Macaca fascicularis: one gene and its partners. The protein of the gene in region 3 purifies or fractionates together with the protein of the main gene of each other region. This does not show direct contact. Links are inferred from orthologs where the notes say so. Each region holds a gene or a part of one and is shown on either strand. Other genes may lie near its edges. The genes, in order: DDX17, SRPK1, DROSHA and DDX5.

What was found.
Region 1: the proteins of DROSHA (region 3) and DDX17 purify together in Homo sapiens (co-immunoprecipitation; 3 studies listed by IntAct, with this or other methods). This does not show direct contact. The link is inferred for Macaca fascicularis from reciprocal best matches to the Homo sapiens genes DROSHA and DDX17.
Region 2: the proteins of DROSHA (region 3) and SRPK1 purify together in Homo sapiens (affinity purification with mass spectrometry; 3 studies listed by BioGRID and IntAct, counting the BioPlex papers as one, with this or other methods). This does not show direct contact. The link is inferred for Macaca fascicularis from reciprocal best matches to the Homo sapiens genes DROSHA and SRPK1.
Region 4: the proteins of DROSHA (region 3) and DDX5 purify together in Homo sapiens (co-immunoprecipitation; 4 studies listed by BioGRID and IntAct, with this or other methods). This does not show direct contact. The link is inferred for Macaca fascicularis from reciprocal best matches to the Homo sapiens genes DROSHA and DDX5.

Annotation. Positions count from the first base shown.
Region 1 is NC_088384.1:13,153,689-13,161,352, forward strand, and holds part of DDX17 (probable ATP-dependent RNA helicase DDX17), read left to right. Parts: intron 1-167; coding exon 168-301; intron 302-602; coding exon 603-668; intron 669-2,913; coding exon 2,914-3,055; intron 3,056-3,499; coding exon 3,500-3,660; intron 3,661-3,743; coding exon 3,744-3,916; intron 3,917-4,436; coding exon 4,437-4,547; intron 4,548-4,796; coding exon 4,797-4,858; intron 4,859-6,458; coding exon 6,459-6,518; intron 6,519-7,664. UniProt on the Homo sapiens protein: As an RNA helicase, unwinds RNA and alters RNA structures through ATP binding and hydrolysis.
Region 2 is NC_088378.1:135,748,781-135,757,169, reverse strand, and holds the start of SRPK1 (SRSF protein kinase 1), read right to left. Parts: upstream 5,522-8,389; 5' UTR 5,480-5,521; coding exon 4,878-5,479; intron 4,509-4,877; exon of another isoform or gene 4,444-4,508; intron 1-4,443. UniProt on the Homo sapiens protein: Serine/arginine-rich protein-specific kinase which specifically phosphorylates its substrates at serine residues located in regions rich in arginine/serine dipeptides, known as RS domains and is involved in the phosphorylation of SR splicing factors and the regulation of splicing.
Region 3 is NC_088380.1:31,976,847-31,984,580, forward strand, and holds the end of DROSHA (ribonuclease 3), read right to left. Parts: intron 6,831-7,734; coding exon 6,784-6,830; coding exon of another isoform or gene 6,743-6,783; exon of another isoform or gene 6,703-6,742; intron 2,538-6,702; coding exon 2,407-2,537; 3' UTR 2,132-2,406; downstream 1-2,131. UniProt on the Homo sapiens protein: Ribonuclease III double-stranded (ds) RNA-specific endoribonuclease that is involved in the initial step of microRNA (miRNA) biogenesis.
Region 4 is NC_088390.1:71,094,414-71,102,602, reverse strand, and holds the start of DDX5 (probable ATP-dependent RNA helicase DDX5), read left to right. Parts: upstream 1-3,544; 5' UTR 3,545-3,673; exon of another isoform or gene 3,674-3,942; intron 3,943-4,193; 5' UTR 4,194-4,336; coding exon 4,337-4,380; intron 4,381-5,582; coding exon 5,583-5,748; intron 5,749-6,103; coding exon 6,104-6,200; intron 6,201-6,308; coding exon 6,309-6,442; intron 6,443-6,553; coding exon 6,554-6,619; intron 6,620-6,855; coding exon 6,856-6,997; intron 6,998-7,078; coding exon 7,079-7,239; intron 7,240-7,325; coding exon 7,326-7,498; intron 7,499-7,853; coding exon 7,854-7,964; intron 7,965-8,176; coding exon 8,177-8,189. Other genes in the region: CEP95 (centrosomal protein of 95 kDa), read right to left, coding at 189-296, 1,723-1,851, 3,315-3,333. UniProt on the Homo sapiens protein: Involved in the alternative regulation of pre-mRNA splicing; its RNA helicase activity is necessary for increasing tau exon 10 inclusion and occurs in a RBM4-dependent manner. Binds to the tau pre-mRNA in the stem-loop region downstream of exon 10.

The DNA of each region.
Region 1 (7,664 bases), on a different chromosome or scaffold from region 3:
GAGCAGCTTTACGGTAAGCTAGTCGGAGATCCAGTAGATAAAGAAAACACTGTGGAGAGATGAAGCTGGGTAAATCTTACTTTAGTGAGCTTAAAAGTTTTTTTAAAAACTCTTTTGGTTTGTGCCCTTAAACACAATAAAATGTGTAAAATAAAATTCTCTTACAGAATATGTAATGGATGTGTTGATGGATCAGCACTTTACAGAACCAACTCCAATTCAGTGCCAGGGATTTCCGTTGGCTCTTAGTGGCCGGGATATGGTGGGCATTGCTCAGACTGGCTCTGGGAAGACATTGGCGGTATGTATGAGCAAGAGAAGATCCTTGATATTGTGGTAACTTATTTTGCTATTCTGATTATCATGCGTTCTCAGTTCTTCATAGAAATGCTGTTCAGATAGTGTAGGTACTATTTTAGGTATTAAATATATGAAAGCATTTTATGTTCAAATTTGCATCGCCTGCTGTATGTGGCAATGGTGAGTTCTGTTTTTCACTTTCCTATTTATGCATTAATTCAGTAATTACTAAGATAGTATTAAGTATCTTAGTAAGATTGTACTTCTAAGTATAAGGTTGTCATTCTTTCCCTCCTCCACAGTATCTCCTGCCTGCGATTGTTCATATTAACCACCAGCCATACTTGGAAAGGGGAGATGGCCCAATCGTAAGTGTGTTTCAGTTTCTTTGTAATTCTAAGAAAAACTACAATTTAGCAACTATTTAGGCATGGTGGTTTACATTATCCATTTGTACTCTTCACCACACCCTCCATATATGGAAATGGTTTCATTCTCATCTTACTTGCAGTTAAATGACTTACCCAAGATCACTCAGCAGTTGAATAGCTGAGCTTACATTTGAACCAAAGTCTTACTCCTAAAGAAACTATGCATGCTATATGGGCACTTACTGTGCAGTAAAGTCAAGTGTTTTCTGGGTGTTTTTTTGTTTGTTTGTTTGTTTGTTTGGAGTTTCGCTCTTGTTGCCCAGTTGGAGTGCAATGGCGTGATCTTGGCTCACCGCAACCTCCACCTCCTGGGTTCAAGCGATTCTCCTGCCTCAGCCTCCTGAGTAGCTGGGATTACTGGCATGTGCCACCATGCCCAGCTAATTTTGTATTTTTACTAGAGATGGGTTTCTCCATGTTGGTCAGGCTGGTCTCAAACTCCTGACCTCAGGTGATCAGCCTGCCTCAGCCTCCCAAATTGCTGGAATTATGGGCATGAGCCACTGCATCCAGCTTTTTTTTGTTTTGTTTTGTTTTTTGTTTTTTTTTTTTGGGGCGACATAATCTCACTCTGTAGCCCAGGCTGGAGTACAGTGGCAAGATCTCAGCTCACTGCAACCTCTGCCTCCCAGGTTTGAGCCATTCTCCTGCCTCAGCCTCCTGAGTAGCTGGGATTACAGTGTACACCACCACGCCCGGCTAATGTTTGTATTTTTAGTAGAGATAGGGTTTCGCCATGTTGGCCAGGCTGGTCTGGAACTGTTGACTTCAGGTGATCTACCTGCCTCGGCCTCCCCAGGGTGCTGGGAGCCACCACGCCTGGCATTGAATGTGTACTTTTTTTTTTCTTTCTTTTGAGACGGAGTTTTGCTCTTGGTTGCCCACGCTGGAGTACATTGTTGGCACAATCTCAGCTCATTGCAACCTCTGCCTCCCAGGTTCAAGCGATTATCCTGTCTCAGCTTCCCAAGTAGCTGGGATTACAGGCATGTGCCACCACACGCGGCTAATTTTTGTTTTTTTAGTAGAGACGGGGTTTCACCATGTTGGCCAGACTGGTCTCGAACTCCTGACTTCAGGTGATCCTGCCTCGGCCTCCCAAAATAATGGGATTACAGGTGTGAGCCACCACGCCCGGCCTACTTTTTAACTTTAAGAATTAAGCTTGCATTTGTCGTATGTATTTATGAACATGTACAGTATGTCTCAAGATATTCACAAAAAGAAAGAATGCAGTACTTTATATAATACATAGTATATGTCTGATAGCATTATTAATTAATATCTAATGGATCAGTATACAAAGCAAGTTTCATAATTTGGTATATGATACCTTGATTTTTGTATTATTTGGCCAGATTGTACACAGTTTTGTCAGATTACATGTAAATTTTCATTGTTTTTGCCTTATCTGCCTGGTGAAGTGCTTAAACTAGAGGTCAGGAATGTGTCCTTCTGCCAGTTTTGTGACTTCTAGTTTAAGTCAGGTTGACCATCCAAAATTTCAAATTTTAGGCCAGGCACAGTGGCTCACACCTGTAATCCCAGCACTTTGGGAGGCCAAAGTGGGCAGATCACGTGAGGTCAGGAATTCGAGACTAGCCTGGCCAACATGGGGAAACCCCATCTCTACAAAAATACAATAATTAGCTGGGCGTGGTGGCGCATGCCTTCAGTCCCAGCTACTCAGGAGACTGAGGCGCAGGAGAATCATTTGAACCCAGGAGGCAGAGGTTACAATGAGTTGACATTGCACCACTGCCCTCCAGCCTGGGCGATAGAGTGAGACAAAACAAAACAAATCCAAATTTTGAGGACCAATATGATTCTCAAAGTAATGCTGGAACATTTTGGTTTTTCGGGTTTAGGGTGCTCAACCTGTAAATGAGAATTGTATACTTAAAATCAGGTAATACAATCTGTATACGTACTTAAAAGTACATATAAACTATAATGATTTGATAATGTGTCATAGTAAAAGTGACGAGGATACCAGTATCATTCCAAATGCTAAATATGAAGTTCTAATAATTTCTTCTACATTCCATTGTACTAATATTCCCTCCTTCTGATCTTCACCCCATCACTTTTAATGTACTAGATTAGACAACAAAGATTTTTGGTTTTTTTGTTTGTTTTTAAACCTTGGGTGGGGTCTCAAATGTCTTTTTGTTGATTTCAGTGTCTAGTTCTGGCTCCTACCAGAGAGCTTGCCCAGCAAGTACAGCAGGTGGCCGATGACTATGGCAAATGTTCTAGATTGAAGAGTACTTGTATTTATGGAGGTGCTCCTAAAGGTCCCCAGATTCGAGACTTGGAAAGAGGTAATAAAATAATATCGTGTAAAAGAATTGTTAGTTTATCTTTACCAATTCCTGTGGATGAAATTGGAGAAAAAAGTGGGTTCTTGTGAAAAACTGAGAATTTCAGCAGCTTAGAAATTCTCACATGTGACCAAAATAACTATTTTGAGAGAGAAAGTTCAACATGACTGGAAACTTTGTGAGGATTTGGTGATTGTACATAAATCCCGACATCATGCTTTTGCAGGTACTTTGTTAAAATTTAGCTTCTCTGCAGCATTGAGTACAGCCACCAGGGCTGGTGCTGCTGCGTTTTTGTAGAGTCGGGGTCTTGCTATGTTGACCAGGCTGGTTGTGAACTCCCGGCCTCAAGCTATCTTCGCGCCTCCACTTCCCGAAGTGCTGGAATACAGGTGTGAGCACTGCACCTAGCTGATTTGCTGGATCATTGGTTTTGTTTTACAGGTGTTGAGATCTGCATAGCCACTCCTGGACGTCTGATAGATTTCCTGGAGTCAGGAAAGACAAATCTTCGCCGATGTACTTACCTTGTGTTGGATGAAGCTGACAGAATGCTTGATATGGGATTTGAACCCCAGATCCGTAAAATTGTTGACCAAATCAGGGTGCGTAAAACTAATAATAAGCAGTCTTTATGCCATTTGTCCAAGCTCCTTAGCCTGAAAGAAAGCCTTTCCTTTTTTGATAGCCTGATAGGCAGACGTTGATGTGGAGCGCAACCTGGCCAAAAGAAGTAAGACAGCTTGCAGAGGATTTCCTTCGTGATTACACCCAGATCAACGTAGGCAATCTGGAGTTGAGTGCCAACCACAACATCCTCCAGATAGTGGATGTCTGCATGGAAAGTGAAAAAGACCACAAGTATGAAAGAGATTTTACTCTCTGATTTGATAATACCAATAAACCTTTTCTATTAATAACCCTCCAAAATCAGTATTACAGAAACCAGTATATTTTGAGGCCTGAAAGCATTAAAAGCATTGCTAACTTTCTGATAATCCATCTTTATGTCATTTGTCAGAGCATTATGGTTAAATGCAAGGATTCTGAATTCTTGAGTTTGAATCTCAGCTCTGCTGATTACCAGCTGTATAATTTTGCACAATTTTATGTCTTGGTGCCGCAGTTTCTTCATCTGGGACATGGGAATAATACCACTCACTTGAGACTTGCTGTGAGGATGGTATGAGTGGTATGAATTAGTATTTCTTGAGCACATAGCAGAACCTGACTCAGGACTCCATATTAATGTTGGTTTAAAATTTTAAAAACGTAATGTGCAAAGAAAGTACTATAGCTTTGGGAGTTGATATTGTAGACATAATCTTCCACATAATAGATACTTTCTGTGTGATGACTGCATTGTTGGTCTTGTTTTCAGATTGATCCAACTAATGGAAGAAATAATGGCTGAAAAGGAAAACAAAACAATAATATTTGTGGAGACAAAGAGACGCTGTGATGATCTGACTCGAAGGATGCGCAGAGATGGGTGAGTATAGCACCAAGGCAGTTAACCTCTGGTTTTATAGTTAACTGGAAATTTCTAAATTGGTATTCCAAATGCTGTGTAATATTTCAATAATGCCTATCCATGCAGTTTGCTCTTTAAATGAGCACAGTCATCTATTCATGAAGCCTGACAAACCTTAAAAAAATTGCATTATAGCATTTGGCTTTAAAGTTTGATTTTCCCCATTTTAAAATATTTTTTAAATATCGGTTATTTTTCTTCTGATAGTTGGCCAGCTATGTGTATCCATGGAGACAAGAGTCAACCAGAAAGAGATTGGGTACTTAATGGTAAGTTTAAGCATTTTTTGTTGATTTTTTTTTTTTTCCCACCATAAGTGAATGTCCATGCTCTATTTCAGGGATAGGCAAACTTTCTGTAAAGGGCCAGATAGTAAGTATGCTTGGCTTTGTAAACCAAATGGTGGTCTCTGTTATAGCCACTCAGCGCTGCTGTTTTAGGACAAAAGCTGTAGGCCATAGATAATATGTAAAGAAATGGCCTAGACTGGGCACTGTTGGCGGCTCATGCCTATAATCCCAACACTTTGGGAGGCCGAGGTGCATGGATCACCTGAGCCCAGGAGTTCAAGACCAGTCTGGGCAACATAGTGAAGTACTGTCTCTTTAAAAAAAAAAAAAAAAAAAAAGGCAAAACAAAACTTAGCCAAGCTTGGTGGTGCACGCCTGTAACCCCAGCTACTCCGGAGATTGAGGTGGGAGGATTGCTTGAGTCTAGGAGACAGAGGTTGGAGTGAGCCAAAATCGTGCCACTGCACTCCAGCCTGGGTAACAGAGTGGGACCATGTCTCAGAGATAACATGGCTGTGTTCCAACAATATTTATTTGCAAAAGTGGGTGTTGTGCCAGATGTGGCCCAAAGGCCTGTTTGTCTTGCCCCTGCTGTATAGTTAATTGAATTACTGAGGGCACTTTTAGTATGTGCTCATGGTCCATGATGCTGGCTCTTTCAACTTTGTCACAACTTTCACCACCCTCCCTTTATTAATAAAGTCTTCAATTTTTTCCTTCTGATTGTAAAAATATAACTATCATTTGGGGAGAATTAAACTGTTAGTGAAATATTTTTTTTAAAATGCTTCTCAATTATTGAGTCATATTTTAGCATATTTCCTTTCAGTCCTTTTTTTCAGGACTACTCTTAAGGGAAGCCATTGAGAAATGGAAGAGGCCATATCTTATTTAAGAAATAATATGCAGCTGGGCGCGGTGGTTCACGCCTGTAATCCCAGCAGTTTGGGAGGCTGAGGTGGGCGAATCACCTGAGGTTGAGAGTTTGAGACCAGCCTGACCAACAGGGAGAAACCCCATCTCTACTAAAATACAAAATTACCCTGGTGTGGTGGCACATGGCTGTAATCCCAGCTGCTTGGGAGGCTGAGGCAGGAGAATCGCTTGAACCCGGGAGGCGGAGGTTGCTGTGAGCCGAGATTGCGCCACTGCACTCCAGCCTCGGCAATAAGAGCGAAACTCCATCTCAAAAAAAAAAAGAGAGAAAAAGAAATAATATGCATACCTCTTGGGGGGAAATTCAGTTCTTTTCATTTCGTATCTTTTAAACTTGTTTCCTACCAAACCCCAGCTTTTGATTGTGTCTCATTTGGGAAATAACTTCAAGGGGAAAAAATTCTAGCTCATATTAATTATGTAACAAATTGCCACACTATCTTAACAGTATTTCGTTATTAGTAGAGGTGACTATTGTACTGCTGAAGATGAGTGTGATAAAGGTTTTCAAAAGAATAACTGTCTGTCATTATAAGAGCCTGGGATTTTCTGACACCATTATTTGAAATTTTAACATGATGATGTAAACAGATCAGATAGCTAGGAATGCTTATTTGATGATGATTATTGTTTGTTTTTACAGAGTTCCGTTCTGGAAAGGCACCCATCCTTATTGCTACAGATGTAGCCTCCCGTGGGCTAGGTTTGTATAGATAGGCGTCTCTGTCAATGGTATATGTATCTTTTGGTTTAAAGATTTGTCATTTCAAATTCAAACTTCAAGTTTAGAAAGTTGTATATACATGTGGTTAGATAAATATTTGAAAGAAAAGAATACAAAGCGTGATTCTCCCCGTTCCCCGCCCCCCACAATTTTTTTTAAAACCTTGGTTTCCCCCACCCCCCTTTTATTTTCAGATTCTCTTCCTGCTCCTAACAAACAGGCTTTGGTCTGCAGCAAGGCCTAGGCATGACTATACAAACAGGGAGAGGAGGCAGTCAGTTGAATGGCTCAACTTCTCTCTGGTGGTGTTTTCTGGCTGGATAGAATAAGCCTGACGAAACCTAGCTATTGTAAGCTAGTTTCTTCAGTTATTCTTTTCCCTATCCCTGTCTAAGTTAGATATATACAGAGGTCCAGTTTTATGAATGCTTACTAGATGGAATGTTATAAGTCTAATGCAGTATCAGAATAGCAATCAAATTTGTATTGCCCAGTTTAATTTACTGACGTCAAATTATCATGGGCACTTGGCTATCCCCTCCTCCTACCCATACACTTATCTATAGGTGTGTTATCCAACCGATAGTTTTCTGGAGTTTTTGACCCATTACCATTTAAGATATACAGAGAATTTTATGGTAGTTTAGCCCACTATTCTGAGCTAAACAGGTCTAACTCAGAACTTTTATATTAAAAAAAGATTATCTGTATTACAAGGAAATCCTTAAATCATTGACAAGTATTTAATTTGCCCAGTAAGGTGAGAAGTACCGTATTATTCCCTTATACTATTTAATATAAAGAGAACAGGTATTCAGACTGGAATACAAACGTAATGAAGCCTTTTTATGCATTGCACTCATCATTCCCTCCTTCAGAGGTGGTGACCTGCAGCCATGATGGAAAGTTCTCTCTGCCCCTCTGCCCTCTGAGGTCATGTCTGGATCTGTGCCATTAGAACTTGGGCCTGTTGGGAGAGGAGGCGGAGGCCTGAAAGCAGTTTACATAAAGCTTTCAGTAATGGTTGGTTTTTAAACAGGCTTGCTATGTGCTGGTAGCTTCTTTGTGCATCTTGCCTAGACAATTAAAAATATTTGCTCTACGTCCCCTTGCATTTCTAAACCA
Region 2 (8,389 bases), on a different chromosome or scaffold from region 3:
CTGGAAGCTGAAGCAGGAGAATCACTTGAACTCAGGAGGCAGAGATTGCAGTGAGCCGAGATTGTGCCACTGAACTCCAGCCTGGGTGATAAGAGCGAGACTCTGTCTCAAAAAAAAAAAAAAAAAAAAAGTATATACATATGTTTAATAAAAATTAAATTATGGTTGGCTGGGCACGGTGGTATACACCTGTAATCCCAGCTACTCGGGAAACTGAGGCAGGAGAATCGCTTGAACCCAGGAGGCAGAGGTTGTAGTGAGCTGAGATCACACCACTGCACTCCAGCCTGGGTGACAAGAGCGAAGACTGCCTCAAATAAATAAATAAATAAATTTAATTATGGCGTATCAGCTTAACGGAATGCTAGATGAGGTTCTCTTTCTCTCCTGATATGGAACTATTTCTAAGACTCAGTGAAAAAGGTAGACCTCAAAAAAAATAGTAAGGCTGCACTATAAGGAATACAGAACCAATTTCTAAGGTGCACTGCTAAGTGTAAAAAGCATCAAATACCATTTCATTTTTTAAAATTGTTTCAAATTTACTGGCTCTACTTCCTACTGAATAAAAATGTTAGATATTTAAGTATTTTCTGTTGCAAATGTTTTTTTTTTTTTAATTTGTGGCCAAATTCAAGTAAATTTTCAATATATCTCCCAACTGACTCCACAAATCAGTGTTAGAGCTGAATTAATTTTACTACCAAATGTATACCAAATCCATAATTATTTAACTGCAAATAAAGTGAAAATTACCGTCCAAACTAACTTCCTAATAAAGTAATAAAATCAGTAAGTATGAAATCCATTTTGGAATTACATTCCATAGAAATAACTTCAAAAGCAGACATATAGGTCAGCCACGGTGGCTCACATCTCTAGTATCAGCACTATGAGAGGCCAAGGTGGGTCACTCGAGGTCGAGTTTGAGATCAGCCTGGCCAACATGGTGAAACCCTGTCTCTACCCCCAAAAATACAAAAATTAGCTGGGCCCACGTGGTGGCAGGTGCCTGTAATCTCAGTTACTTGGGAGGCAGAGGCAGGATAATCGCTTGAGCCCGGGAGGCAGAGGTTGCAGTGAGCTGAGAATACGCCACTGCACTCCAGCCTGGGTGACAAGAGACCCTGTCTCAAAAAACAAAACAAAACAAAAACAGACATAGACTGTTAAATTATAAAAGCTTATGACAAACAAATAAAGGCTCACAGCTACTGGTATAAACACTGAGAACAAATGCTCAGAGGGAGATAGATGATTGTGCTGTTTCATAGACACAGGACAGTAGGTCATGAAAGGGCACCCAAACCCCCAAGCATACGGAGGTCTCTCATTCAGAAGCCTCTTTCAACTCAGCTTCTACCTTACCTGTTGTAAGACACACCAAAAGGTCTGTCACTTAGAAACACATGATTGGTAACCAGGGCTTTCGGTATGTCAGACCTGGGTTCAAATCCTAGCTTTGCAATTTTCTAGGAGAGTAATCTGACAAACCTCAATTCTCTTATCTGTAAAGTAAAACGGAGATCATCACCAACTAGTTAATGTTAGTAAATAAAAGCATAGTGTCCGAAAAAGTAAAACTAAGAAGGAATTGTCTAAATAAGAAAATTAAAAATCCCAAAAGTCAAATACTCCAGCACAGTAAAAAGAACCCAAAGGAAATCCACTCTAACAAACACTGAGCTGGAAAGGGACCCTGAATTCCAAGTTTTGGTTCTTCTGTCACCAGCTTCAAGACCCTGGGTTTAAGATCTACAGTACCAGGGGACTGAAAATCCCTTCTGCCTGTGACACAACACGACTATTTAGTCAGACTATTTAGACTACTAAGGATGCTATTTACTGTAAATAAGCCTAAGTATTACTTCCAAAAGTATTACTTCCAAAACTTTCTGAAATTTTCATTTAAATGCTTAGTTTTTATACCTTTAGGTCCTGATCAGTTTTCATTATGACTAAACTGCCAGTCAGTTTTATACATAAGACTGTTTCCTTCTGTAATCCCAGCACTTTGGGAGGCCGAGACAGGCGGATCACGAGGTCAGGAGATCAAGACCATCCTGGCTAACCTGGTGAAACCCCATCTCTACTAAAAAATACAAAAAAAAAAACTAGCCGGGCGAGGTGGCGGGCGCCTGTAGTCCCAGCTACTTGGGAGGCTGAGGCAGGAGAATGGTGTAAACCCAGGAGGCGGAGCTTGCAGTGAGCTGAGATCCGGCCACTGCACTCCAGCCTGGGCGACAGAGCAAGACTCCGTCTCAAAAAAAAAAGACTGTTTCCTTAACCAACTTGTCTTAAGGTCAGATTGCTAAACAGTAGCAAAATCAGAATTCAAAACCACATCTATCTCCAAAGACCAAACTCTATGGCATGCTTCTTCCTCAAATCTTCCTGACTCACCTTCTGCAACTAGCAGCTTGCCTTTGCAAAGTAAATGGAAGTCATCAGGCGTGCAATCAGAAGTCATGGAACAGAGTCAAGTTATCTGAGTTAGTTGAGGCTTGAACTTCTGACACAGTACTCTAACCAACTTAATTAGACATTTCAGCTACTTAAAAGGAGGCTGGGATACCAAAGAAAGAAAGAAAGAAAAACAAAAAGGAAGAAAGAAAAAGGAAAAAAAAGGGCAGGGTGCAGTGGCTCACGCCTATAATCCCAGCACATTGGGAGGCTAAGGCAGGCAGATTACCTGAGCTCAGGAGTTTGAGACCAGCCTGGGCAACATGGCAAAACCCTATCTCTACAAAAAATACAAAAATTAACCAGGCGTAGTGGCATACACCTATAGTCCCAGCTACTTGGGGGGCTGAGGCAAGAGAATTGCTTGAATCTAGGAGGTGGAGGTTGCAGTGAGCCGAGATCGCACCACTAAACTGCAGCCTGGGCAACAGAGCGAGAACTTGCCTCAAAAAGAAAAAGAATAAAAAGGTAAATTTAAAACAAAAAAACGCAAAAACGCATTAATTGGAAACAAAACCAAAAATAAAACACCTCTGAAATTACAAGTAAATGGGGCAGTTCATTCACGCATATTTTCAGGAGTCAAAGTTGTTCAAGATAAAATATTCAGTAAAATGACTGCTACGTTATCTATAATCCACACTTGCAAACAATTAACAACACAAATAACTCTAAGTTATCCATAGTAGTGAATGGGGTAACAGATATACATATATTTGGCTTTAGAAATAAAGCATATAGTCTAAATAGATAATCGGAAGTAATAGATATCTGGTGCTTAAAGTATATGATCACCTATATACATTTGCCCCTCAAATTATAGCTTGATTTGGGCTAATCTCAAATTAATTTCCAAGTGGTAAGAGAGATCCGGACAAATGGTCTGAGAGACCAGGATTTCTAAAAAATACAGTAATATAATAAAAACCGCAACTTCCTCGTATCAATAGAAAAGAACGTTTTAACACATTCTTATCAATTCCACAAAGAATAACTCAACTAGGCACAGAAAACTAACATTTCAATTCCTACTGCACACTAGAACCAAGTTAGCACCTTGCTGTTTCTATTAAACAATCTAGGATTAAAAAATGGTTTTGAATAATCCCATATACGGATAATCCAAAGGCAAACAGACACACACAAACTCACCATTTACAAACCTTCGTCACCAAGCACTTACAAAATATATTTCATAAGACGGAATAGAAAATAGAGCAAGAGGTGAGGTCACCTACCACTTTAGTTCTATTGAAAGACAGAAGTCATTAGGTGCTCTCCCCAAACAGTAGGTAGCCTCCAAAAACAACACACACCCCTACGCCCCCCTTAATCTGGTATTGTCATTCAGTGGGGTGACCTAGGAAAGCCTTTGAAATGTGTTGTATCAACTCAGAGGGAATTAGACCGCATACAACGCCAAAAAAATCAAATAAATTTAAAAGTATAAAGATAATACATCTTAAAATTAAGAACTAGGCATAGAATCTCTCTCTGAGAGATGATTTCCAAGAGCTGATTTCCAAGACCCTTTGCAGTTAAACGTTAGTACATGATGAAAGTTCTTTAGGCTTAGCCTCACTTGCTGAATGAAGCCTGCTACCTGAGTTTCTATTAGGCTGTGACCAACTTTTGAACTTGCCACGATAGCACTAAACTACTGTTATGCATCCCACTGATAAAACTGGACATGTGGCGCTTAATACACCAAACCAGAACCATCGATGTGTGTTAAAGAACTCTCCCGTTACTATAGTGATGCCGACTCCGGAAGATTATCTGCATTTGATTGAGGTTTAGACAGAAGAGAAGCAGTTAACAGACACTGACTGTATACACAGCGGTCTGCCGGCACAGTGCAAAAAAGCCGATGTGCCTTGCAGGTTCAGGAAGTTGACTAACCCAAAGAAAAGCCCCATGCCCTCCTCTATGAAAGGGAGTGTGTGGTTGGTAGAACCCAAAGTAAACACGGAAAAACTCATTCAAGAATTTCCTTAAGGCCTACCGTGCAGACGTTGGAGGCAAGTTAAGACGTTGGGGAGCAGGTAAGAGAGAGAGACCAGAGTTCAGAAACAGAACGATAATGATCTACCAGCTCCGGTGGGGGGGGGTCCAAGCTAGGGGAGTTTGTGCCTCCTCTGTGGAGTTGGGGAGGAAAGGTACCGGGCGGGCTCTGGTCCTCCTCCGACAGCCCTTTCCAGCAGGCCTGGGGCTGCTAAGACCCAGGCCTGGCGTTCAGCAACAGCAGCTCTCTTCCACATGGTTGCTGGAGAGCGACCCTCCGAGCTGCCCCGAGGCCATGTGGCTGCGGCCACAGGGTGCCCAAACCCTGTGCACATTCAAGACGCGAAACCAGAGCAGAGAAGGTGCCGGAGGAAAATCCAAAGAATGGGATGTTGGGGTACAAGACTCACTTCCTTTGGGCTTTGTCCTTCTTGGCCTTGGTCCTTTTCTTTCGGGCCTGGAGCGCAAGCACTGCAGGAGAGAGGGATGGATGAAGGGCAAATGTGGAGGAAAGGAGGTGACCAAGGTGAGGGTGGAGACCCAGCAGGGGCGCCAGGCCCGGCTGCGGGGCCTGTCTCAGGGGCGGCTGCGGTACGAGCGCGGAGGCTTCGGCAAGGCGGCCGGCCGGGGGGCTGGCGGCCCACGGGGCACAGAGCAGCGCCCGGGCGGGATGCGCCGGAGGGGTCTCAGGCCGGGTCAGGGGGCGGGCGGGCGGAGGTCTGCCTCGCCCGCCAAGGTCCGGGCCCTGGAGTGGCCCCAAGGCGCAAGCTGGCCTGGCAGGGAACAAGGGGCGGCGACGGCCGGCGCCGGAGGACGCCCGGGCTGAGGGGCGCGGACCCGCAGCCCAGAGGCGGGGGGTGTGGGGCGGCGCCACCTCAGTGGAGGGGCGCCGCAAGCCCGGGGACCGAACCGCGGCAGTTAGGCGAAGCTCCGGGCGCTGACCCGGGCCTCGCCCCGGCGGCCGTTGCCCCTCGTGGCGGAGGCCGCTCCACCGCTCACCTTTCCGCTCCATGGTGAGACCGGTAACCGCCAAGCGCCTGCGCACTCGAGTGGCGGTGACTCCAGCTCCCGCCGCGGCCCAAAACCGAGCCCGCGCACACTCCACCCCCAGTCCCGCCCCGCCCCCGCCCCACCGTGCCGCGCGCATGCGCGTCGGGAGCGGAGCCTACCACCTGCTCCCGAGGAGGGGGCGGCAAGGAGAGGGAGGGGGCGCTGAGAGGAGGAACGTCGGGGGTGAACGTTGAAGGAGTGTTAGAGATCCAAGCTTGGAAACCTGGCAAGGTTAGTTTTGTTCTATTTGCTTAGAAAAGGCGCAGAGAGCGGCAGGGCTCCCTGCATGCTGCTGAGTCAGAGCTTCAGAGGCTTGGGATCTGCCTCAGTTTCCTGGCCTGTAAAATGGATTAATCAGGCATGTCCCAGTTTCTCCTTCCCTGAGCTATTGTGAGCCCAGTTGAGATACTATTTAAAGAAAATGGAAAAAAATTACATGTGAGAAAGAAAAGGGAGTGGGAGCAACACAGAAAGACTGGAAGGAAAGAACCTGTGACCCTATTATCACTTGAAAAGTAAAAACTTCAAAAGTGAATTTTCTCTTGAAATTTCAAGTTTAAATGAAAGCTGTAAAGGAAAGAAAGGGAAATGAGAATAAAAACGTTTAATGTTTTCTTATTCTACCACCTTCAATACATGATAAAGTTGTCTTGTTTATGAGATTTTTTTTTTTTTTTTTTTTTTTTTTTTTTTTTTTACTTTTCTAAGTGCATTATCTCATTTTATGTTTATGGCAACTTAAAGGCAAAATAGTTATTACTTCCATTACACAAAGACACTAAACTTAAGAGGACCTGCCTATATGTTCAGAATCTTGGTGTACGACCCAGTTATTTAATCATCAAGCCCTTATTGTATAGCAGGCTCAGCAAAGTTTTTCTTTGGGCCAGATAGTAAATATTTAGGCTTTGTGGACCATAAGATCTCTTTCTCAGCTACTCAACTCTGCCACTGGAGCTCAAAAGCAGTCATAGAAAATATGGACTTTGTTCCTATAAAGATTTATTTATGGACACTGAAATTTTAATTTCATATAATTTTCGCATGTCATAAAATGTTCTTCTATTGATTTAAACATGGCCTTTGTTAGGTTTTGAAGGGAAGGTGAGGGTTAAAGAGGAGTAGTCTTGCTCTGCTACTCAGGTGGAGTACAGTGGCATGATCTCGGCTCACTGCAGCCTGGATATCCAGGGCTCAAGTGATCCTCCCACCTCAGCCTCCCAAGGTGCTGGAATTACAGGTGTGAGCCACTGAGCCAGGCCCTTTTGATCTTTTTTCAACCGTTTTAACTATTCTTATTTCAGATCTTAATTTACCAGCCCCTATTGTAAAGTACCACAGCTGGTCAGAGTGGAAGCTCTGAAGACCTTTGCTCTAAACAAGTAATTGAGAAGGGAAGATGAGAGGGCAATAGTACAGCACAAGTCAAGCATGGGGGCTTTGGCAGGACTTATTGAGCAAAGTAAGTAATTAAGCCCATCCACAGAGGAGGCCGTTTTTGAGCTGGGTCTTAGGAAATACATAAGATTTCTGTAGGCGGAGAAGGAGATGTCAGGCATTCCTGAATGAGAAAATACATTGAGCAAAAAGGCACAGACATGGACACCTGTAGGTGGGGGCTAGGATTGGGGCTGGTAACAACTGAAGGGATGAAATGGAAGGTGAGGCTGGAAAGGCAGGTTAGCCAAATTTGAAATTTAGATAATTGATATATGTTGCATGGAACCTGAATGATAGCATGTCTGGGTATATTGCAAAAGAAGACAGTACCTGTTGGCCAAGGAAGGATGCAGCCCAGTCTATTCCCTGCTGTAAAGTTGAAAACAAAGGAAGGTTAGGACAGACAGGGAAGCCCTAGACTCTGAGGATTGTGTGAGTTCAGGATAACCACATGTGGTTTAGAAAAGACAGGGAGAGAGCAGATGGCTAGGAAAAATCCCAGAATTGGGAAAGTACTGCCCACCCCAAAGTAAACTGTTTGAGTGTAGAGACCCTGCTTAGATTTTCCTTGATGTATACTCAGTGCCTACACAGTGTCAGGCACTTAGTAGGTGCTCAAATATTTGTCTAATAAAAGAATAAATGGGCCGGGTACCATGGCTCATGCCTGTAATCCCAGCACTTTGGGAGGCTGAGGCGGGCAGATCAAAGGTCAAGAGATTGAGACCATCCTGGCCAACATGGTGAAACCCCATCTCTACTAAAAATACAAAATTAGCTGGCCGTGGTGGCACATGCCTGTAATCCCAGCTACTTGGGAGGCTGAGGCAGGAGAACCGCTTGAACCTGGGAGGCGGAGATTGCAGTGAACAGAGATTGCACCATTGCACTCCAGCCTGGGCAACAAGAGCGAAACTCCGTCTCAAAAGAAAAAAAAAAAGAATAAATGATCTGCAGTTTATGAGAAATGTCAGGATGAAAGAGAAAACACTGAGAGGGACAATATTAGAGCTGTATTAAATCTGAATTGGTTATTGCAGACCCATCAAAAAGGAAATATGTTCAGCTTAGCATGAGACAGTCGTACCTATTCTGACTCTGAGTGACTGTTGCTTCTCTAAGAGCTTACTAACCATCTGTTTGATAACTCATTTTCAGACTTTTTCCAGAGTCAATGTGAAGTTCACTGGACTGAGTTCCCAGAATTGACCATTTCTCTTTTTTGTCCATCTGTTTTTCTCTATTCCTCCATCATGTTTTGGCTCTCCACTTTGTCTAAGATCTCTATAATTGTTCATATAAGTAAGTTTGTTCATTTCCCCTATTCTACAACCATCCCCTTTTTGTGCATTTTGCTTTAAATCTAACTTTAAAATCAGTTTTTTCTCCCAAGTTTGCAGAACTTGGCCTATTCTGGACTTTTACCCTTCCA
Region 3 (7,734 bases):
TCAGTTTTCCTCCCAACACTCAGCTTTTTCCCAAAGGTTCGAGACCAGCCTGGCCAACATGGTGAAACCCCATCTTCACTAAAAATACAAAAATTAGCCAGGCGTGGTGGTGCACACCTGTAACCAGCTACTTGGGAGGCTGAGGCAGGAGAATTGCTTGAACCCGGGAGGTGAAGGTTGCAGTGAGCCAAGATCACGCCACTGCACACCAGCCTATGTGACAAAGCAAGACTCCATCTCAAAAAAAAAAGAAGAAAAAATGAGCTCTCTCTCCTCCTTCCCTAGTGATCTCCTGGCATCACTGGTGGGGAGGAAGGGCATCAGGACAAGCCTTTTTTTTTTTTTTTTTAAAGGCACCACCTTACATTTTTATAATTAGCAAATGAAGACATCTTAGAGGTATCTCTCTCTCCAATATGTGTGTGTGTGTGTGTGTGTGTATACACACCCTCAAAAAGGTATGTGGCAGCACTATGACAATAAATTGCTTACAACCTATACATTTTTTATGAGATTGGTTAATACAGTATATCTACAATTGGCATATAATTATGATGTGCATTACTATGTAGCCGTCAACAACTATGTTATGTAAATGTGAAATCGACGCACAAAGATATTCATATTATTTTAAGAAGTTAGAAAGGCTATGGAAACCATATGTATGGTATCCTGTTAACACACGAGTGCATGTGTGTATTTAAGTACAAAGACAGTCCAACAGGACATAATTCTCTGGGTGATGGAATCATAAGTGATTTATCTTTCTGCTTATGCTTTCTATTTTTTCCGTAATAGTTTCTAAGCAACATTTGTTTCTTTCTCCTGCTAATAAAAGTAATATATTTTTCAACTTTTTTGAGACTGAGTCTTGCTCTATCACCCAGGCTGGAATGCAGTGGCGCAATTTTGGCTCACTGCAACCTCCACCTCCCGGGTTCAAGCAATTCTTCTGCCTCAGCCTCCAGAGTAGCTAGGATTACAGGCACCCACCACCATGCCTGGCTAATTTTTGTACTTTTAGTAGAGATGGGGTTTCACCATGTTGACCAGGCTGTTCTCGAACTCCTGACCTAAAGTGATCTGCCCACCTCGACCTCCCAAAGGGCGGGGATTACAGGCGTGAGCCACCGTGCCCAGTCCATTTGTCAAAATTTTGACAATACATATGTAACATTTAATATTTATATAAGAAATACTTCCAGATACCTGAAGGGTTCACTTCGTCTCCTCTTTCCCATCTTAAATGATACCTTTTTAGGGAGAACTCCTCAAACACCTCATTGAAAACTGCAAACACAAGTCCCTGCTTTATTTCTTGCCATTGGGCTCTTGGTCTGTTGTGGGTGTTCCTGCACTAGCACCCAAGCTCCTCAAGGACCTCTTCACTGCTATAGCCCCAGAGACTAGAGCAGTGTCTGATACATAGGAAGCATTCACTATATATTTGCTGAAATGATGAATGAAACAGATTTGTTTTACAAAGAAGTTTTGCCTTTATTAATAAGAAACCAGTGATATTTAGTTTTAAATAACTTTTTAAAAAATATCATGTCTTTTAATGTCATGTTAGCCTTTTACTGCAGGGCCCACTTAGAGAGGCTGATAAAAGCTCTAAACCCTCCTCCTTCCTGCTCCCCATGCCCTCTCAAATCTCAAACACACACAGAAAATGGAATTTGGTATTGGGAGGTTTTGACTTCCCTGAAGTCTGTTCATTACCTTCTTAAAGGTTCCACTAACCTCAGGGTGAGAGCACTTGGTTTAAAGTGTGGCCTGGCTTAGAATCATGATTTCTCTCCTATTCTAATGATTCAGAGAATCTATGTGACTTGAATATCAGTCTTTCCTCTTCTCCCATTAGCCAATTAATTGTTAAACGGATTCCTTCTACAAAACACTCACTGCTTAGAGACAGGTAAGTTCAATATTTGCAGCTGAGAACTTGATACAACAGCCACCAGATGAAAGCTGAACAATCTACTTAAAAATCCAGAGATTTGAAAAAGTATAGATGTTAATAGAGCATAGTCAAAATGTCTAGTAAAGTCAATTTTTTACTTGTCAATTGAAAGTCTAGGGTCACAATCTGGGACAGAGATGGAAAAAACAGGATCTATTCCACATAGAATATGCTTCTTGAATTTTATTATTTAAAGAGCAAAACAAAAGGAAGTAATGCACATTCACCAAAGTCGAGTTTTCCATTAAATAGAAGAAAAATCTAATCCTTTGTAATAAAGACCATCCAGCTAAAAACAGATCATTAAAACAACAGCAATTTGACTTGTATTTTATTTCAATGAGCACACTTCATTCATTGTCTGTAGGAAAACTAGGCTAGGTCTCAATAGACAACAGTCACAGTACTGAGCAAGTAAATACTCCACACTTGCATGCCCTCCTTTATTTCTTGACGTCTTCAGTCTCATCTGGCTCTCTCTCTTGATGCTCTCTTTCCCACCTCATTTCTTTTAACTCTTGTCTGTACTTCCGTTCGATGAACCGCTTCTGATGGGCCATCTGGGGAAAATTATCTGACACAAGGAAATATATTTTATATTTAATAAAGGATAGCCACTAGTGCAAAGAGTGATGCAACTAAACATATACACATACAAATATACATGCATATGAAATGTGTATAATTATATTTCGTAAGGCACAAGATAGAAAGTTGTTTTCTTCCCTTATTCTTTCATCACTCAAAAACACATCAGAAGCCTGGATGAGCACCCCGATTGTAAATTTCAATATCTGATGTGAACTTGAGTATAACAGGCATCGAACATACAGAAATGTCAAAACACAGACATGTGGCTTGGGAATGTTACTAAGCAGGTGCTTTAGCATCACTCTCCTAGCAACAGGTGACTTTCAGGGAGAGATGAAAGGATACAGTAAAATGGAGTCACAGTTTTTGAAAAGCTCAAACTAAAAACTTCAAACAAATGACATTATGACACCATTATTTACCAAGAATTAAAGTCTCAGAAAAGAGCAAAGAAAGATCAGGTGGACAAAAAGAGGCCACATTCTAAGTCATTATGTCTGATAATTAATTTTTAAGCTTACAATGACAGGCCCAAAACTGTATCTGCAAAAGTAACTCAAGTAGAAAACTTATTGAGTCAAAGCGGACATATAACTTCATGTTTCAAACACATGAAGAATCCAAGATGTAGGAGAGCATGGCATGCTTGGGGGCAAGTTCATTTATTTCCTTTAAGGATGATGCATAATGAAGTTGATCTACATATAAGACAGCAGGCCCCTCATCAGTGATCTTGCTCTCCATGGTTTCATTTACCTGTGGTCGACCATGGGCTGAAAACAGGTAAGTAACGTAAAATAAGATATTCTGAGAGACAGCAGACACAGCATACAATCAAGAGTACATTCACACAACCTTTATTACAGTATGTTGTTACTGTTCAATTTTATTTATTGTTAATCTCTTTCTGTATCTAATTTATAAATTACATTTCATCTTTCAATTAAATTTTGCACATGTAGGAAAAAATACAGCGTACATAATGTTCAGTTTTAGGCATCCACTGGGGTCAAGTATCCCCCAAGGATAAGGAGAGATGACTGTATAATATATCCTAAATTCTTTTATCCCTATTATATTACACTATCCCTAAATTGTATAGTGTACCATCCTCACAGTAGGTTGAAGAAAGGACAGGGTAGTAGGAAAAGCATCTGAAAGACAGGTGGGGAATCAGCAAAGACCTGATATGTCTGAGAGTCAGAGATTGATTGAATTAATTAACTAATGTATTTATTTAGAGATGGAAACTCACTCTGACGCCCTGACTGGAGTGCAGTGGTGCAATCTCGGCTCACTGCAGCCTCCGCCTCCCAGGTTCAAGTGATTCTCTGCCTCAGCCTCCCAAGTAGCTGGGATTACAGGCATGCACCACCACACCCAGCTAATTTTTGTATTTTTAGTAGAGACGGGGTTTCACCATGTTGGCCAGGCTGGTCTCAAACTCCTGGCCTCAAGTGATCCTCCTGCCTCAGCCTCCCAAAGTGCTGGGATTACAGGCATGAGCCACCACACCCGGCCCAGAGATTGATTTTTTTAAAAAAGAGGAACATGACATCTGTATTTTGGAAATAAAACAGTAATAAAATCCTATTCCTGAACTGATAAAATTTATTCCTTATGTAGGTTTCAAATATAACTACTTTTTAAAAAATAAATCCCACTGAGTTAACTGTAAAGCAAGTCTCTACAAAATGAACTCTATTTCCTCAGTAGTACAGAAGTATGTAATAATCCCCAGTAAATTCTACTGTAAAATCAAATTTGCATTTGAAAAACACAACTCAGATTTAACTATTGATAAAACTTTTTAAATATATCCTTATGGCCTTTATGAAGCTATACTACATATATATGCAGTGTAAATGTGTGTGTGTGTGTACATACACATGCACACACACATATACCTAGACACTTGAACATTTAAAATCATTTTCCTATCTACTCTTTCGGAAAGTACAGTATAGGTATGTATTTAATAAGGGTATGCTTTCTTATTCTAGTATAAGCATTTTCTCATATCATTAGTTTTTAAAACCACTAATGGATACAACATTTGGATATAGCAAGGGTTGGTAAACTCCTACCCACAGGCCAAATACAGCTATCCATCTGTTTTTATAAAGTTTTATTGGTAGACACACCCATTAAATAGACACACTCATTAGTTTGCATACTGTCCAGGCCAGTGGGCTACAATGGCAGAGTTGAAGAATTGCGACAGAGACTGTATGGTCTGGGAAGTCTAAAATACTTACTATCCAGTCCTTTACAGAAAATGTTTCCTAACCCGGGGATATACCAAAATTTATGAAATATTTTCCTACTCTTAAACACGCAGTTTGATTTTTTTTCCTGCTATTATAAATCAAGTTGTCATGATTCTCATGGTACAAACTTTTTTGGAGAGGAGGGGAAGAGACAGGGTTCTCACTCAGTTGCCCAGGCTGGAGTGCAATGGCATGATCATAGTTCACTGCAGCCACAAACTCCTGGGCTCAAGTGATCCTCTGGCCTCAGCCTTCCAAGTAGCTGGCACTACAAGTGCATGCCACCAAGCCTGGCTAATGTTTTTGGGGTTATTTTATTTTTTTAAATTTTTTGTAAGGACAGGGACTCACTATATTCCAGGCTGGTCTCTAACTCTTGGCCTCAAGTGATTCTTTCCTTGGCCTACCAAGGGTATGAACTTCTTTAAGGACCTGCTACATACTGCCCAATTGCTTTCCAGTAGTTTAAACAACTCACTCCTATCAGTATGGATATGCAGGCCTGTCTCAGAACAGGTGATCTCTCCAGTACTGTTTTATAGTCGAAAACAAACAAAAAATGGAATCACACTTTTATTTCACTCTGACTGCAAATTTATATGTACAATGGATGAAGTTCCTAATAGCCAACTTAAAACTCTCTGTGAAGAATCCATGGATGCTGGACCCTGCAGTACCAGCTTCTGTTCCCACTAACCTCCCTGCCCCCGAACAGGAACCTTTATCTGCTGATTTCCACTTGGCTCTTAGCCTGCTTGCCTTTCCTGGAATCTCTCCCATGCCTGAAGATTCTGGGCCTCTTCACTTTTAGCTTCCCGCACTGTACTGTCTGCTACCTCATTTAGCGGGGTACTTGAAGCATAATAGAATTGCACTGTCATGTTGTGCCCACAGGTTCTGCTGTGCAGCACAACAGACCTCAGAAGAAAAATCCCTTGCACTTAAGCCTTCAGTTTACAAAAGACTATGCAATTTCCTACAAGGTCAATCATGTAATTGAAGTTTCTTCAACCCACGCATCCCACTCCCGGGAACCTATTCCACACAACTAAAAAGCACCAATATATAACATTTGTTGGTAATGATGATTAAAAAAAAAGTGTCCACCAATAATAAAAAGGCTGAATAAAATATAGCACACCTCTAGCAGGAAATATTATGCAGCCAATAAGAATGAATTGGAGCTGTTTTCTATAATCTGCAGGGCTGCTCATGATACATTATTGAGCAAAAAAAGAAAGGTATAGAGAAGTATGTAATAACAGCCCATTTAATAAAACAATGGCCAAAAACAAAAAAGAAAAAACCTTCACATGTATTCTTTTCAGTTACAGGATTTTAGAGAATACAGAAATGTATGAAAGAAAACACAGACCAGGCGCGGTGGCGCACGCCTATAATCCCAGCACCTTGGGAGGCAGAGGTGGGTGGATCATCTGAGGTTAGGAGTTTGAGACCAGCCTGGCCAATATGGTGAAACCCCGTCTCTACAAAAAAAACAAAAAAATTAGCTGGCCGTGGTGGGAGACACCTGTAATCCCAGCTACTGGAGAGGCTGAGGCAGGAGAATCACCTGAACCCGGGAGGCAGAGGTTGCAGTGAGCCGAGATTGTGCCACTGCACTCCAGCCTGGGCAACAAGAGCAAAAGTCCATCTCAAAAAAAAAAAAAGCACAAGAAAACACAGCAGGTTATTCACACAGGTCACCCACGCTGAGATTAGGACTCTAAGCAAAAAAGGAAAATGCAAATCAAAAAGCATTCAGGAATACTTTCATTTTTAAATATAAGTCCATTTTAGAATGTCTCACATTCTACTATATTCTCTGTGTGAAGAATAATTATGAAGAAAACAAAATCACATTTTATCAGTACTTACCATTTTTCTCCCTCCTCATTTTCTTTCCATAAAACACTCATTACATGATGAACATAATTATAGAAAAAGAAATAGGCTCACATTTTTCAAGGGCATCCATTGCTGCTCCCATTTCCGCTTGCTGAATACTATTACATAAAATAAAAGTAAGATACACTTTAATTTTGAGATCCTTTTTTTTTTTTTTTTTTTCCCAAAAATGCAACGTATGGCTACAAATTTTTCAGGTTGATTTTCACGTTTGGTGCATAAAATTTCCTCTGATTACTTCCACTGTCACACACTGAATTGCACAGATACAAATATACACAAGAGCATGCAGAAATGTCGTTGATTTGCACAAAGCCTCCTTAAGTTATTCACTCCACACTTTAATACTGCAATAAAATGCCTTCCATTTATATTAGGTCTGAAGTATTTCATACTTAAGTTTGAATACCCTCACTGTAAAGTTTAAAGAGGAAAAGAAAAAAAATATGTAGACAGGTTTCAAATCATTTCTCAGTTTAAGATATAGACTGGAGGGTTCAAAGAAAGGTGATAATATACATAATTCTTTTCACCTAAAGATGCTAGCATTTCTACACAGCTCAGGTGAGTAGTAGTAAATCAAATGTCTAACAGAGCTGGGCACGGTGGCTCATACCTAAAATCCCAACACTTTAGGAGGCTGAGGCTGGGAGGGGGAACCACTTAAGGTCAGGAGTTCGAGACCAGCTTGGCCAATATGGCAAAACCGTCTCTACTAAAAATACAAACATTAGTGGGCGTGGTGGCATGTGCCTATAATCCTAGTTTCTCGGGTGTCCGAGGTACAAGCAAAGGTTGCAGCGAATGGAGATCATACCACTGCACCCCAGACTGGGCAACAAAGTGAGACTTTATCTCCAAAAAAAAGTCTAATGGCTGTGTCATGTGCGACATGACACATCTTACATGCACAGCTTGCATCAAAGTGCACTCTGCTGGGTAACTAAAACTAGGCAGGCCGTCTTACCAGGTAATGTGGTTTTCTTAAGGTAGCTAAAGCCC
Region 4 (8,189 bases), on a different chromosome or scaffold from region 3:
GATGTTCAGCTCTCCTGGAAAAGTTCTCATGCATGGGCCTGACCTCTAATCAGTTGACTGCCTTAGCTCAATCTTACAATTTGGTCTACTCCATAAGCTCAATCATTTGGTTAAGTAAACAATGTCTACGGTTCTAACAATTATTTTACTAAAATGCATAATTATGTGATAGTTAAATATATACCAACCTGTTATGTGAGACAAGCTGACCTGTAAGTAATCCAAGGCCAGCGAATCAATTACTGCTTGTACATTGTGTGCATCATCCTCTTGACTCCTAGGAATAGCTATGAGGTCTGTGGGGGAAAAAAAAAATCACATAATTTTGTATCCATGAGAGACCAAGTTTTCATCTCATTGTCTCTCACTAGGCTACTGAATATGCTCAACTGCTATGAAAGCTCTGCCCAAACAGAACATGCTGTAAAGTACAGACTAAAATTAATAAATCCTGAACTCTACACAGCAGAATCTTTATTGGTTATTTATTGATTGAACCGATTTATCAATTTTGGATATTGACTGAATATTTATTACACCATTTATATATACATATATATATGAACATGCTTTACAAGAAGCACCATGTTAAGGAAGATAAAGTGGCCCCTACATTCAAAGAGAGCTAATAGTCTAGTAAGGGAGCCAAGACATGATACTTTAACCCATAACTATGGGCTGCTTTCTACGAGAGGAAAAAAAAAAACAACACAGCAGGCATTGGAAGATTATTTTATATATATGTATGTTTGTTTATTTATTTATTGAGACAGGGTCTCGCTCTGTTGTCCAGGCTGGAATGCAGTGGCGTGATCTTGGCTCACTACAACCTCTGCCTCCCCGGCTCAAGCAATTCTCTTGCCTCAGCCTCCCAAGTAGCTGGGATTATAGGCGTGCACCACTATGCCTGGCTAATCTTTGTATTTTTAGCAGAGACGGGGTTTTGCCATGTTGGCCAGGCTGGTCTTGAACTCCTAGCCTCAGGTGATCCACCTGCCTCAAATGATCAGCCTCCCAAAGTGCTGGGATTACAGGCGTGAGCCACCACGCCCGGCCCTTATATGTCCTTTTGAGTAGCCAACTGGAATTATTGGTATAAAGATTTAAAATGTCAGTACAGGCTGGGCATGGTGGCTCATGCCTGTAATCCTATCACTTTGGGAGGCAGACAGGGGAGAATCACTTAAGCTGAGTTGGTACCACCCTGTTCTTGAACATAGTGAGATGGGGAGCAAGATGAAAGGATATATACGCTTATTAACTGTCTTGGTAAATTAGGTTCATCAAGTACAAATATCAATTCTTACCCCTAACACTGGTTAAGTGACAGGATCCAATAAATTCCCAAGTTCCACTCAATTTTACAACCTTTGAAGGTACATTTTCAGAAAGGATGCAACTTTCACAAGGCATTAGCCATGATTGGATTAACCAGTGATTATCAGGAGCCCTCAAACTGATCTGCTCAAGGCCATTATTGAGTGGATTCCACAGGGTATTCCTTAAGGAATATAATATAATTAGACAATACGCAATATTAAATACCATTTAATATACGATATTTAAATATTGTATATTAATATATAATTTAATATGCAATATTAAAAAATATATAGGCAAAGAGAAAATGAAATGTTATAAATACCAAAGCATCTAACTAAAGGACCAAAAACTTCTGACCTAAGATATAGGCAAAATTACTCCTGCTTTTAGTAGTCTTACCTGGTACCTTTTCTCCCAAAATAGACTGATAAAGGGCAATAAAAACATTAGCATCACAGTCTTGAAGTTCATGTATTCTCAGATGTATATGACACTTAAAAAGAAGGCTATTGGCAATGGTTACCCACTCTGTTGGGAAAAAGGGGGAAAGATCAGTCTTAAATACCACCAGAAAAAAATCACACACCCATTCAAAAAATCCAACAACCTCCCCACCCAGAAAAAAAAAAAGACACTGAACTTTGTAGAAGATAGGGAATTTGATTGTTATAGAATTTCAAAGACCCGTTAGGCATGATTTTTAAAAAGATGTATTTAATTTCTTGGGATGATTTCCAGAGTGCTGTAATTTCTATACAGTCAAAACTATACTGCAAATTCAACTGTTACTGTTGCAGCCTAAAATCTTAAGTTACTTATATAAGCCTTACGTGGGTGTTTTTAGTTAAAACATGTTTACAAGTAAACAGGAATATTATGTCATAAGCAACAGTTTAATAATAATCTGAAGTTACTAGACAGTCATTAATAAAATATGTTGCTTCAAACTCCCAACAGTATTGGTCATGTGTTTACCCAATTATCTTGTGCAAGTCAGGATTTCTCTGGTGCCCAAATAAGTGGTGATTAAACTTAGGCTGTTAAGAACTGGCATAATGACAACATCAACACTAATGCATTTCTTAGTTTTTCTTTTTTATTATATTGATCTACATGAAACAAAATATTGGAAGTACATGAAGCTCAGAATTATCAATACTGTTGACGTTTCCTGCATACCACATTCTCCTCTCCCCTAGATATTGCTGGGATTTGCGAAGTTTAACAGTTTCTCTACCAAAAGCAACTTAGCTTAAAATACTTGTTCCTTGAAATGCCTGACGATTGGTAGGAAAGCACTGGCAATCGATATTAGAAACAAACATCTCCACTATGTTCTGGACACATGACGTTCTGGAAACGAATGAGAGTGTATCTTCCAGGCACATAATCCCCCCTCTCCAAGCCCATTTCTCACAACTGGCCAAACCATGACAACTGGTTTGTACGCAGTCCTAGTGAAAAGGATGAAAGCGTCCTAGACAACCAAATTAATTCGCTCTTCAAAAGCGGTGCTAGACAAAGCCCATGACTCTAGAGGGCACTGAAGAGAAAAAAGCACCACTATTCTTCTGTGGCAGGGGCATGAATAAACCTTAAGAGTGCCGTTCCTTTAAAGACCACTACAAAAGGAGGTACGACCTCAGGGCCCATAGTGCAAGGGAGGAGGGCACATGGACAGCGGCTAGACGCCCCACAGAAAGACAAGTCCGAGGACGACCCTTCTGACTGCTCTTTTTGCAGCCAGGACCCGAGCGTCCTACCGGCCTCGCCCCAGTGCCTCTCTCCCACCTCATACTGCTGTTCCACGGCCTCAAAGCGAAGAGGGGGTGAAGCTGAGAGACCCTATCCAGAGAACCCGCCACCGCGACGCAGCGTCTGACAGTAACGAGCCCCGCCGACACCCCAGACCCAGTCCGGGCTAGCCCGAGGCCTCCCTGAAGGTGGACAGTTTCAGTAAACACACACCGCGACCCCAGGGAAACACTCACCAGCCTCCGAGCGGGCCATGTCTCGGAAGCAGGTCGCCGCCGGACTCCGACGCTGCCAGACCGGCGACGGTGTCCTGCAAGGACCGAACGCAGAGCAGACGCTGGGGGGCGGGCGCACGAACTAAAGCGCGGGGAAGGAGGCGTGAAAGAGGGAGGGACGTTAAAAGAACTTCTCGCCGCTGATTGGTCATCAGAGGAGCACTTCCTTTCACAGCACGTGCCACGGAAGCGGTTTGGGAAGTTTAGAGACCATTCTCCGCCGGCCAAAACCCGTCACAGGATTGTCAGACCCGTGGGTCGGACGGTCCAAGTTAGCCGGCAGCTGGGGGCGGGTCCCGGGTGCTGGCAGCGCACTTCCGGTGAGCTATTTCGTTATGTATCCCTCCGCCGACGTCAACGGGGAAGTAGTGCGGCCCCCTGTCACGGTGGGCGGTGGGGGGGTAACGTCACGTGACAACGCCAGGCCCCCGCCTTCCCTCTCATTTGGTTACAGGCGTGAGGGCTCTTTGGAGACGTAAACACCTCCGAGTGGGGAGGGTGGGCGGGCTTGGGCTGGCTGTTTTATCGTCTGGCTGGGCTTGGGAAAGGGCAGGGTGGCTTTCTTGAGGTGTGGAAAGACGAGAAGAAGGTGAGGTCAAGAGAGTGGAGAATGAGGCATTTCAATGGTGGGTGGGCCCTGACCTGAGAGAGCGGCACGGGGTGGGGTGAAAGCGCGGCGATCGCGGAACGCCGGCGGGCGTTGCGGCCTCTGCGCGAGGGGCGGGGCGATTAGGTCATAGAGCGGCTCCCAGCGTGCCTTGCGGCGTAGGAGGAGGTCCAGACTATAAAAGCGGCTGCCGGAAAGCGGCCGGCACCTCATTCATTTCCACCGGTCTCTAGGTGTGCAGCTTTGGCTGGTGTCATCGCCGTCACTCCTCCGCTGCCGCCCCCGCAAGGCTTCGCCGTCGCCGAAGCCATTTCCAGCGACTCGTCGCACCCTTTTCTATCTACTTCGTTCCCCGCCAACCGCAACCATTGACGCTATGTCGGGTTATTCGAGTGACCGAGACCGCGGCCGGGATCGAGGGTGAGTGTGGGAGCCGAGTTGTCAGGGCTGGCGGGTGGGGGATGGGAGGGCGGGTCAGGGTGGCGGCGGGCCGGGGCTTTGCGGCTTGGACTCGGCCTTTCCGGGCTATCTTGGGGCCTCCTTTCCCGAAGGCTTGCGCCATTTTGATATTCACGTAACAGTGAGTGGGAGAGATTTGACGGGATAGTGTCTTCATCCTCGCTTTTTGTGTGGGGGTCGGGGAGCCGTCGGGGCGGCTGCCATTTGGTAGCTGTTGAGGGAATTCAGAGGGAGCGCATTGTTCGGATGAAAGCGCGACGCTTCGAGGCAGACGAAGGAACAGCTGTTAGGTGCGGCCTTTCGGGAGGTGTTTTTGGGGTGGTCGGGCATTCTGTGGGAGCGAAGGGACCACCTCCAAAGCCACTGGTGCTGTGGGGGTAGGAGGGCGGCCGGCATCAGCCATGTGGCTGAGTCGCGGGTATAAAATGCCGGCCTTGGACATGGCGGCGGCGCCTTTGTTACTCCGCCCGGCGGAGGAGCTCAAAATGGCAGCGTCGAGAAAATGTGGCGCAGAGAGAAATGCGAGACAAAGGGGGAAGCGCCGCCCCAGCGGGAACGCCGCCCGGCCGGCTCCGCCCGGGCCGGGACTCCTCCCCCGGTAGTCGCCGGCTCCTCCTTTTCTTTTTTCCTGCGTTATATAATTTTAATTCGTTGATCCGGAGCTCTACCGCGGCGTCCCCCCAGCTCGGTTTGCTAGCAGAAGTGTTTCTAAACCGTTGTTTCGTTTTCGTTGTCTGTGCTGTCTAGATTGTTGACATCAAAGCTCTTTGGCTTGAAAACGGCCATATGAGTAACATCGTTGTGATGCTCTTCGGTTCATGTAGGCTTGTTATCACTGATAATGAATTGCTAGACTGGTGAGAAAGATAATAGTAACCACAAGAAGTGGTGTGTAATACTAAATTCTGGCATCTGGGTGACAAGTTTTCGATATAGTAAATCCCAGGCTGTTTACGTGGCCTAAGTTGTGTGTACTTGGGACTACGGGAAACGTTAACTGTGGCTGTTGAGAGAGAGATTATCACTAAGGACAGTGCTAGGTTTACCTCTCGAAGTCGGCTTTCAGTGATCTTTAGCTTGTGCCAAGGGATGGTAAACAAATCTGTCCAGAAACCTAGGTGTAGCCATTTGAAAATGTAAATAACTTTTTTTCTTCATTCCAGGTTTGGTGCACCTCGATTTGGAGGAAGTAGGGCGGGGCCCTTATCTGGAAAGAAGTTTGGAAACCCTGGGGAGAAACTAGTTAAAAAGAAGTGGAATCTTGATGAGCTGCCCAAGTTTGAGAAGAATTTCTATCAAGAGCACCCTGATTTGGCTAGGCGGACAGCAGTGAGTAAATTCATGTGGCTTCATCAGGCTGTAACTCAATGGAGTCTAGTAAATGAAATTCTGACAGGTGTTTTGCAAATAACTCAATTTTGGTAGAGTTACGTTTTCTGACTTCATAATTGGGAAAGGTGTGACTCACTTTTGCAAATAGGTGGCTTTGGGAATTTTTTTTTTTAGATTGAGTATAGCAGAATAAACGGTTTTTTTGTCATATAGGGTTTTCATACGCGGTTCCAGATTAAAATGAAGCTACTTTAAACTAATTACTAAATTATGAAGTTACGGACTTGCCAATTACGTATTTAGTTAGGGGTGGTTGTCATGAGCTTTAAGACTGTTATAATTTGTTTTGCAGCAAGAGGTGGAAACATACAGAAGAAGCAAGGAAATTACAGTTAGAGGTCACAACTGCCCGAAGCCAGTTCTAAATTTTTATGAAGCTAATTTCCCTGGTGAGTGCTACTTTTCAGTTCTACCCTACCCCTGTGTTTTTGTTTTCACCTACCTCCTCCTTTCCTTGGCATCACTAATTTTTGTTAAATATCTGTCACTAATTATAGCAAATGTCATGGATGTTATTGCAAGACAGAATTTCACTGAACCCACTGCTATTCAAGCTCAGGGATGGCCAGTTGCTCTAAGTGGATTGGATATGGTTGGAGTGGCACAGACTGGATCTGGGAAAACATTGTCTGTAAGTTTGAGAGAACTCTTGATGTAATATGTGCAAGAAAACGGAATGCTAATTTAAAAACAAGAGTATTTTAATGTGATTTCTGTTTGTCCCCGTCTTCACCCCAAATAGTATTTGCTTCCTGCCATTGTCCACATCAATCATCAGCCATTCCTAGAGAGAGGCGATGGGCCCATTGTAAGTATATATTTTTAACTTTTTATTAGAAGTGTAATATATAGATTTTTAGACTACATAGCAAAAGATGTAATTATTTGTGGTGGTTTTATACAGAGGTTAGCTCACCCTATTCAGCTGGAGTTGCTTTGGGTATTGGACAACACATGAAGAAAGGATCTGCCATCATAACTAATAAGTTAATAGTTTAAAACTAGTATCCAGGTTTGTGCTGAAAGCTGTTTCTCTTTCCTTAGTGTTTGGTGCTGGCACCAACTCGGGAACTGGCCCAACAGGTGCAGCAAGTAGCTGCTGAATATTGTAGAGCATGTCGCTTGAAGTCTACTTGTATCTATGGTGGTGCTCCCAAGGGACCACAAATACGTGATTTGGAGAGAGGTCTGTAATGAAGAGAGTTTTATTTGTTATTGGTGCTAAATATTTTAGGTATTATAGTTACACTTACGTGTTTAATTAAAGGTGTGGAAATCTGTATTGCAACTCCTGGAAGACTGATTGACTTTTTAGAGTGTGGGAAAACCAATCTGAGAAGAACAACCTATCTTGTCCTTGATGAAGCAGACAGAATGCTTGATATGGGTTTTGAACCCCAAATAAGGAAGATTGTGGATCAAATAAGAGTAAGTGTCCTTTGAAATATGTGATCAAATTCAATTCTATTTTCACTTTTAGTCTGACACTAATTTTTCCCCCCAAAATCCATTAGCCTGATAGGCAAACTCTAATGTGGAGTGCGACTTGGCCAAAAGAAGTAAGACAGCTTGCTGAAGATTTCTTGAAAGACTATATCCATATAAACATTGGTGCACTTGAACTGAGTGCAAACCACAACATTCTTCAGATTGTGGATGTGTGTCATGACGTAGAAAAGGATGAAAAGTAAGTTTTATTAACTCTGTTATATTCGCTTCCTAACCTTGCTAAAATTGAGGGATCATTGTTATTTCAGTTGGTGTGATTTCGTTTAGTTAGCCTATTAATCCTTCTGAAAATATCTTGAATTCTTCAAATAATGATTATCACCGTTTATAGTTTTCCTATAGAAGGAATTCATGTGTCCCCTGGTTGACTTAAGGACCAAGGGTCGAACTACTACATAAGTGGGTTAGCAGGTGTTTCCTCTTTGACTTCCAGCCATGTAAATTGAACTTAATGTTTTGCTGACCATAAATGTGGGGCCCTACCAATGGTCTTTTAAAACTCAGGATTTTTCCTTTCTCTCTCCCATTATTAGACTTATTCGTTTAATGGAAGAGATCATGAGTGAGAAGGAGAATAAAACCATTGTTTTTGTGGAAACCAAAAGAAGATGTGATGAGCTTACCAGAAAAATGAGGAGAGATGGGTATGTGTGGGCTCCTCCATTGAAGCAGATTTTTTTGTAACTGAGCTTAGGAAAGGGCAAACTTGGATCAGGAGCAGTGGATATCTGATAATATAAGTGAATTTAATTCTTTTTAATTTCTGGTGAAATTAAAGAGATCTGTGACAAGACGTGGTTAAGCACTGGAGTCTGAGGTTTTCAATGTGAGTTTTATGATACAACTTGTCTTTTAGGTGGCCTGCCATG